2 linked regions of the Cricetulus griseus genome follow. The protein of the gene in region 1 purifies or fractionates together with the protein of each later gene. This does not show direct contact. Links are inferred from orthologs where the notes say so. Each region holds a gene or a part of one and is shown on either strand. Other genes may lie near its edges. The genes, in order: S100a4 and Ppfibp1.

Region 1 (4,320 bases):
CTAACCCTGGCTACTCATGCACAGTAGAAGCTTTCCTAGGGATGTCAAAGTAGTGAGGGGTGGAACAGTAGCTTCTCTTCTTGGAAGGGAGAACATTTGCTCTCTCACTTTGGAGGCTCAGCCATGTGCACACTGTGGCAGGGGCCTGCTCAACTCCTAATAAAGAAATGTCAGCTTGGCTTGGTTTGGTTCTTCTGATGGGACACACTGGATTTTGGGACTGAGTCCTTGGGAGTCTTTACCCCTCTATGTTCCATATCGCTGGAGGAAGGCAGCTGAAGGCAGGGGCCCTAAAGGCAGTTCCAGACCCCATAGGAATGCATAAGTCTCAGTATTCAGTAGGAAGGTGGGGCCATTACAAGTCCCCATCAGGTGAGGCTGGGGGTCTTTGTCTCCATCTCTCTGTCCCCTGTCTTGAGGTGGAAGCCCTTGTTTTGGGCTTTCTAGGAGGGCAAGAGGCTCCTTGGGAGAAACTCAGTACTTGTGATTAGAGCATCGAGGTATGTGGGTATGGGTGTGGCATAGCTGTGGGAAACCAGAGAGCAGTAGCAATAGGATTGGGGCCTCTGAGGTATTTGCTGCCAGCCAGGGAGGGAGCCTCTGTATTTACTGCAAGGGGAAAGGGATACTTTGAGTCAGTCCTCATCTCTGAAACCACAGCCCCTGAGGGTCCCAAGTTCCCATTTCTGACCATTGCTCAATCCCCGTATTTGTACCCCATCCTTAGAGATTAATCCTGACTCCCCATTTTACCTGTTTCTCCTGTAACTCTCTTCTCCAAGCTGAGTGTTCAAACCTGAATGCTCCCATCAGCCCCAATACCCTCCCTGGACCTTCTACCCATTCATGAACCTCGAGGCCTCATTACTGCCCTAACTCCATCACGCCCTCTTAGGCGTTTCCCACTTAATACCTAGGGTGGTACCAAGGCCCCTCCCGACTTGCCAGTCTTCACTCTGGGTCTTACTGAGCGTGACAGAGAGCTGTTTAGGCTGGAGAGAAGGGCTGACTGTCCCACTGGCCGGGGTCACCTCCCCAATTCCTGGGCCATACATTTCCATATTCCCCTCTTGCCCATCACCTCCCCATCTTCTTTCCTGTGGCCCACATCCCATGCCCATGTTGCCCCTTCTCAAAGCTTCCTTAAAAGTTGGCTGAGCTGTGGCTACTGGGTGGTATCCACACCATTCAGGTCTCTCGTGTCCACTGGGGCTTACTCAATGCTCGCCTGTGCCTGCTGGGTAGTAGGAAGCTTGGTTCTCAGGTTGGGCTGGTGGAGGGGCCTGTGACATTTACTACATCAGCCAACAGTAGGAACATAGTATCCAAGCTCCCCCCATCCCCTGCATGGGCAGGGCCCAGCAGAGTATAAATAGGGCAGACATTTGAGCTTTCCCCAAACCTCTCTGTTCAGCACTTCCTCTCTCTGGGTCTGGTGAGTTGTGTTGGCTTCATAGCAGTATTAGTGGTGTCAGAGGCTGAGGCTGGGACAGGAGAAAGGGAGGCTTCTGGGGAGACAGATGTTTTTACTAGATCCAGATGAGAGATTCTGATGTGGAGGCTGTGTGTGTGTGTGTGTGTGTGTGTGTGTGTGTGTGTGTGTGTGTGTGTGTGTGTCTGTGTGTCTGTGTGTCTGTGTGTCTGTGTGTGTCTGTGTGTGTTGCACAAGAATGAAAACAGCAACAAAAAGGTGTATAGATGCCATTTGAGCTCTCAAGATTTCTAAGATGCTGAGGCTTACACGTGTTGTTGCTACAGTGTACATCTGTGTTTGGGAGCCATGGATAGGTACCCTGATGGGTGTTTGCTGGGTCATTCAAGCCAGTGTGTGCGGGAAAGCAGGTGCAGGAAGCAAAGTGAGGGAACATGTAGGCTTTCTTCTTAACGTTTAAACTTCAGTTATTTATTTGTGTGCATGCATGCGTGGGTTGGGGATGGGGGGCTCATGCCAAGGTGCACTTGTGGAGGTAAGAGGGCAACTTGTGGGAGGGAGTCAGTCTGCTCCTTCTACCATGGGCTCTGGGGATCAAACTCAGGCCATCAAGCTTAGTGGCAGGCACCTCTACTTACAGGCTACCACTCCAGCACTCACCTGTAGACTTCTGTGTTCATATTAGTGCCTTATGGACATCCAGCACCCCAGGTCAAGAGAGCCTGGCTTCCCCACCCTCCCCTTGTGCCCCTACCTCTGCCACCTCATCTCACTCCTCACTAAGCTGGTCAATAGGCAGCTGGGTTTTTTCCGCTGTGGGCCCATGGGCAGGCAGCCAGCAGCCGCGCCCAATGCTGGGAGGGGGAAGAACGGGCCAGAGCCTGGTGCTTGTGGTTGAGCTGAGCAAGGACGGAAAACTGCTGTTGTTGAGGCCAGGCCCGAGGACAGTCAGCCCAAAAGCTGCTGGCACGAATCTCCAGAGATTGTATGGTAGGCTCTGCATGTTTCAGAGCCCAAAGCATACACGACCATCTTGCCATTAGTGGGTCCCACTCCTCTGATCTCTCTGGGAATGAGGACAGTCTCCTGAAGTGTTCCTAGAGGGTAGGTTGGAATGGAGCATTTAAAATGGGGGCAGAATGAGTCTATGACTTGGGTGATGAGCAGTGCCACATAGCCAGTTCTTGATACACTGTTGGTGTGGGTTGGGTAAGGCTACCTTTGTGTCTCCTGCCCCTAGCTCTCAACTGTCACCATGGAATACCCCTTAGAAGAGGCCCTGGATATGATGGTGTCTACCTTCCACAAATACTCAGGCAAAGAGGGTGATAAGTTCAAGCTCAACAAGTCTGAGCTGAAGGAGCTGCTGACCAGGGAGCTGCCTAGCTTTTTGGGGGTGAGTGGGTCCTGCCTGTGTATTTCATGTGTGGTGCATCCCCAGGAGGAGGTTGGGACTCTGGTAGGTAGTGCCTAGCTACAGTTGGCGTATATCTCTAAGGTGGGGAAATGGAGGTTGGAGAGCTTGCTCCGGGTGCTTGGTGTGGAACCACAGTGAACCATCTATCCCTCATTAGCCCTCAGCTGAGAGAAGGCTTAGAATGAACACAACCGAAGAGACAGAGAAAAAGCAAAACAACTGCCTAACATAGTCAGTGTCTGAACTGCAGGCTAGATCAGGACTGTTGGCAAGAGAAATTGAGTTTCTGTTTGTGAAGACACGATGGTGGAGGCACACAAACACCTGCAGAGTCTCTCCTCAATAACACCTTGCATTAGTTAATTTAATGCATCACTGCCATGGCTGCTACCTAATGAGATAATTAAAGCAAACAAGGAGAAGATGTGGTCCTCCCCGTTCCCAGCTACCTCAAGTGCCCGCATCTAGGGCACATCCTCCTCTACATAGCTTAGTCCCAAGGCTTCCTGAGTGCCCAGAGGCACTCAGGTGTTCCTGAACACCTGGCTGGAGGCAGAGATCTAGCTTGGGTCTGGCTTCTAACTGTTCTTCTTCTACTCCCAGAAAAAGAGAGATGAAGCAGGATTCCAGAAGCTGATGAGCAACCTGGACAGCAACAGGGATAACGAAGTAGACTTCCAGGAGTACTGCGTCTTCCTGTCCTGCATTGCCATGATGTGCAATGAATTCTTTGAAGGCTGCCCAGATAAACAGCCCCGGAAGAAGTGAAGACTCTGCAGATGAAGTGTGGGGGCGTGGTCTTCGGGAGGAGGGGGCTCTTCCCTTTTGGCTCTGAGCATAGTGCCTTACTCTGGCTTCTTCATACATATGCACAATGCTGAGCGAGTTCAATAAAGAGTCTTGAAACTATGTGCTGTTGCCTAAGAGACTGGAGATTGTGGGTTGGGTGTTGAGGGAGGGTATATCACAGGGTAGTGGTGGGGACTGCGGGGAGTTGAGCTGGGAGTTGAGCCTTGAGGGAACAAAACTAGAAAGGGTTGGGTAGGGGTTGAGTGGCTGATTTAACTAGCATGCAAGTGTGTGTGTGTGTGTGTGTGTGTGTGTGCGCGCACATACGTGCAACAAAGAAAACTTTGGGAATACTTAAGGCAGAAGCCACCAGAGGCTTGGCTTGAAAGGCTCCAGATGTGGGAAGTTAGCCAGTCCACCACCCTCCTTTCTCTCTCCAGATCTGCCTCTGGGCTCAAACTGAAGTTGGGATGGGATTGAAGGTCACATCTGTTGCTGGTTGGAGTCTGGAGGGAAGACAACGGGCCTGAGTCACAAGGAAGGAGTCCAGAAGGATGGGGAGGTGGACTGGCACCCATCCCTGACATTTATAGTCCAGGTCCTGCCCTGCTACCCATTCTAGCTCACTAGCTCCAAACAGTGGATTAATCCTTTCCTGTCCATGGCTGGATGAAGAAGGGCA
Region 2 (4,352 bases), on another chromosome or scaffold:
ACTGTAACTGTTATTACTCAAAAAAGTTGTTTTAAAACTTGTCAATAACTAACACACACACACACACACACACACACACACACATACATGCTAAAGATACTTACTGCTTAATTTGCATGGTTTTGGAGGTTCCGTCTTTCAGCTGCAGGATGCCGTTATCAACCAAGGCTACACAGTGCTCACCTTAGTGTCCACAAGGAACTCCACTTTTTTCTTTTCTAATAAAAGTCCACTAGAAAATGCAGTATGTTTTATATACATTCACTGAACATAAGTACCAAAATTTTGCCTAATATGATTGCTCAGCCATTAGCTATTCCTATGCTTAATTCAAAAACACAAACCAAAATTAAAAGGTTCTATTCCTGTAAAGCATATACTACTTACTCCCTTTCCAAAAGCCCTGTTCTCGCTGGGTATGACAGCGTGCGTGCGCACACGCACACCACACACACACACACACACACACACACACACACACGCACGCACGCACGCACGCACGCGCACGCACGCACGCACGCACGCACGCAACGCACGCACACACACACACACACACACACACACACACACACACCACACCACACACACACACACACACACACCACACACACACACACCACACACACACCACACACACCACACACACACACACACACACACACCACACACACACACACACACACACACACCACACACACACACACACACACACACACACACAACACACACACACACACACACACACACACACACACACACGTAAAGACAATGGGGGCAAGAGGATCAAAAGTTCAGGCTTGGAGATGGCTCAGCGGTTAAGAACACTGGCAGCTCTTCCAGGGGTCCTGAGTTCAATTCCTAGCACCCACAAGGCAGCTCACACCTGTCTGTAACTCAAGTTCCAGGGGATTGACTCCTTTACAAAGACATGTGTGTCAACACCAATGCACATAAAAAGTACAACTTAAAAAAAAAAAAAAAAGGAAGATCAAAAGTTCAAGGCCAGCCTGGGCTACATGGTGAGAGCCTGTCTCAAAGAAGACAGAGGGCAGTGGTGAGATCCTGGCCAAAAGGCTGCTCTTCTCACACCCTGTGCTGTCTCATCATCTGAAGAACCGACAGCAATACGGATACAAACCAGGCTGTTTGGAAAACACAGCAAAGGAAACACAAATGTCCTGTCCAGGTTTGGCGGTTTGGCTATAGAGACATCTTTTAAATTCCATCTTTAAAACCCTCTCTCCCCACACACACTTCCCAACTTGGGTTTTCTAAACGAAATGTAATGTTATGACTTTATTTCCCCAGCCCCTGGAAATGCCCTTTAGGTCAGAGTCTGGGATGCAGCTTTTGACTAACAATGAAGTCCACTCCTACTTCCTCCAGACCTGGCTACCAGAGACTCCTCACTGCTGAGGAACTGCTTGCTGCCCCAAAGGGGAAACTGGCTCCACTCAGAAGTCTCAGCTATGCGCTTTCTTATTCTTGCTCTAAAAGAGCCCTGAACCGCTGATAGAGCCAGGGTTAGAATCAGTGTCTTCAGAACTAATCCCACCCCCCAGAAAGTCAATCACACTCAGTGACCCGTGCACAGAAAATCTCCAAGCAAGAAAAGGGGTTTGAAACAAGAAATAAGAATCAGAACCCTACCAACAGGAAAGCAAAGACAATTGCTTTCTCTAGTTAACAGATTTTTTGACTTCCCTTTGCATTGCTCTCAATTCTTTCACTTAAACGACATGCTGTAGTGGGTAAGGGAACTGGGAAAATATAACTATTTTCTATTTATTTTCTGGGGATGGTGATTCACAAAAATATCTGTAGTGTTTTTAAATATTCTTCACTCCTATCCCCACCCACACATGCACTTCCCTGATGGTTCTGTCACAGAGTAGGAGACTGTGCTCAAGCACACATCTCTGATGGCACTCTCTCAAAGGCAGAGAAACTGAGACCCAGGGGCTGGAGTTCTGTGGTATTATATAGGGAATCCCGGGTTCCGCTGCAGTTCTCTGACTGGAATCTGTGGAATATTAGAGGGAGTCCAGGGTTCAGGGTCCCACTCCAGTTCCCTGACTGGAGTCTGGTGTGGGGAGATCCTGGGGTGTGAGGACCCACACGCACTTCCCTGATTGGAGTTCTGTGGAATCAAGAGTCTGTGGTGTGGTGGGGAGGGGAATCTGAGTTGTGAGATGGGGCGCATACTTCCCAGGCTGAGTGAGTCTGTGGTGTGGTAGGGAGCCCATGATGTAAGACTATGCACACTTCTCTGACTGGAGTTCTGTGGTATTTAATAGTCTGGGGTGTTCGAGTCCCAGCACACTGCCCTGACTGGAGTCTGTGGAGTGGAGGGGGAGCCCGGGTGTGAGCTGGGAGCACACTGCCCTGACTGGAGTCTGTGGAGTGGAGGGGGGAGTCCGGGTGTGAGCTGGGAGCACACTGCCCTGACTGGAGCCTGTGGCGTGGAGGGGAGTCCGGGTGTGAGCTGGGAGCACACTGCCCTGACTGGAGCCTGTGGCGTGGAGGGGAGTCCGGGTGTGAGCTGGGAGCACACTGCCCTGACTGGAGTTGTGTGCAGTCGGGGTGCGTGGGCCGCAGACCCAGGCGAGCCCTCCCTGTCACCCCGGGGAGCGGGGGTCCCCCGGGCGGCGAGCGCGGGTCGCAGAGGGAGCCGCCCGCGGGCTTACCTGAGGCGCAGGGCCGCCGAGCTCCACAAGTTGCCGTCCCGCCTCCCGGCGCCGGCGCGGCTGCCAGATCGCTGCTCCCGCGGCGGTCGCCCCGCGCCCTAGGCGGCGACAGGAGCCCGGGCCAGAGCACAGCGCCCGGCTGACATCACCGCCGCCCAGGTGCCGCCTCCGCCGGTCCTCCGAGGCCCGCCCGCCTGCCTGCTCGCCCGCTCGCTCGCCCGCCCGTCGCTCCGCCCCGCCCCGCCCCGTAGCCCCGCCCCCGGCTGGAGCCAGTCCCGCCCCGGCGGGAACCAGCCCCGGGGGGCGCAAGGGGCGGGGCCTCGCGCCTGCGGCGCGCTGATTGGCCCGGCGCGCCGTCACTCACTCCCAGGCGTCGCCGCCGGGGCTCCCACATTCCTGGCGGAGCCGCGCCGTGAGTGGGCGTCGGTGAGGATCGCGGGTGCCCGGACTGCGGTACCCCGGGCGCCGATCAAGAGCGGCGGGGAGCCTGGGCCGCCGCTGCCCCCGGATGGGAAGCGACGCTCACCCCGAGGGCCCCCTCCCTTTTGCGGCAAAGCCGCCGCGGACGGGGCGGACGGGAGCCCCGCGGATACAGCCGAGGCCTTGCTGGCCTCCCGCCCTGCAGCGCCGCCCCGGGAGGGGAAACGGAGGGTTTGCAGAACCTGGAGGACAGGACAGGGTCCCGGACGCCGCCTCCCTCACCTCTGCATGGTCACCTGGCGGCGCCCAACCACGTGGCTGCTTTTGCAAAATAACAAATATATAAGTAAAGTAATAAAACCTCACACACCACGAGAGCCCTCGCAAGTAAGACGGACTCTGCAGAGGGGGCGGAAATGCCACTGTTTGCTTTTTGTTTGGAGGATGGGGTCTCCACATCCCTAGGCTGATCTTGAACTCGTCAGCCTCCCGCGCGGGCCTTCCTGGGAGCCGCGCTTGCAGGCACACACTACCAACCCCAGCACTAACCCGTTTTTTAAAAGATTTATTTTTGCTGTTTGTTTTTGCTTTTTGTTGTTTTCCTCAAGAAGAGTTTCTCTTGTGTTTCTGTCCTGAAACTCCCTCTGTAGACCAAGGACAGAGATCCGTCTGCCTCTACCTTCCTGAGTGCTGGGCTGGGATTAAAGACAGGGGCCACCACACCACCAGGCTATTTTTTTTTTTAATTATATGTATGTACGTGTGTGTGCCCACGGAGGATGGAAGCACTGGCTTCCACTGGCAGTTACTGGCGTTGGAGTTAATGGACTGGCAGCTATGAAGTAAGAGCTGGGAACTGAACTGTTTCTGAAAAAAAAAAAAAAAGGAGAGAGAGAGAGAGAGATCAGAAGGGCTTAACTGTTGGGCCATCTCTGCAGCCCCTGCCCTAAACTTTCAAGTACCATAAGGTTGCTGTTGGTGCACAGCTGAAAGGGGACAGCCCTCACAACTGAGTTCAAACCACATGATAATTACTGTTGAGCCAACTGCAGTGACTGAGCTAACAATTAAGAATTAACTACTATTTACTCTCCGGTGGATAGCAGCGGTATAATAATCCTCCTGGCTGCGAAGTCAGGAAGGTTCTCAGGAACCCTTCTTTCAGGCCCTGTCCCATGTCTCTTCCCTTATCCCCCCCCCCCCCCGCCTGCCCCCCTCCCGACCCAGGACCGAATGGAATGATGA

The links.
Region 2: the proteins of S100a4 (region 1) and Ppfibp1 purify together in Homo sapiens (co-immunoprecipitation; 3 studies listed by BioGRID and IntAct, with this or other methods). This does not show direct contact. The link is inferred for Cricetulus griseus from reciprocal best matches to the Homo sapiens genes S100A4 and PPFIBP1.

Annotation. Positions count from the first base shown.
Region 1 is NW_023276806.1:63,942,196-63,946,515, reverse strand, and holds S100a4 (protein S100-A4), read left to right. Parts: upstream 1-1,278; 5' UTR 1,279-1,435; intron 1,436-2,475; exon of another isoform or gene 2,476-2,536; intron 2,537-2,672; 5' UTR 2,673-2,687; coding exon 2,688-2,828; intron 2,829-3,452; coding exon 3,453-3,617; downstream 3,618-4,320. UniProt on the Homo sapiens protein: Calcium-binding protein that plays a role in various cellular processes including motility, angiogenesis, cell differentiation, apoptosis, and autophagy.
Region 2 is NC_048601.1:2,822,869-2,827,220, forward strand, and holds the start of Ppfibp1 (liprin-beta-1), read right to left. Parts: upstream 2,883-4,352; 5' UTR 2,688-2,882; intron 1-2,687. UniProt on the Homo sapiens protein: May regulate the disassembly of focal adhesions. Did not bind receptor-like tyrosine phosphatases type 2A.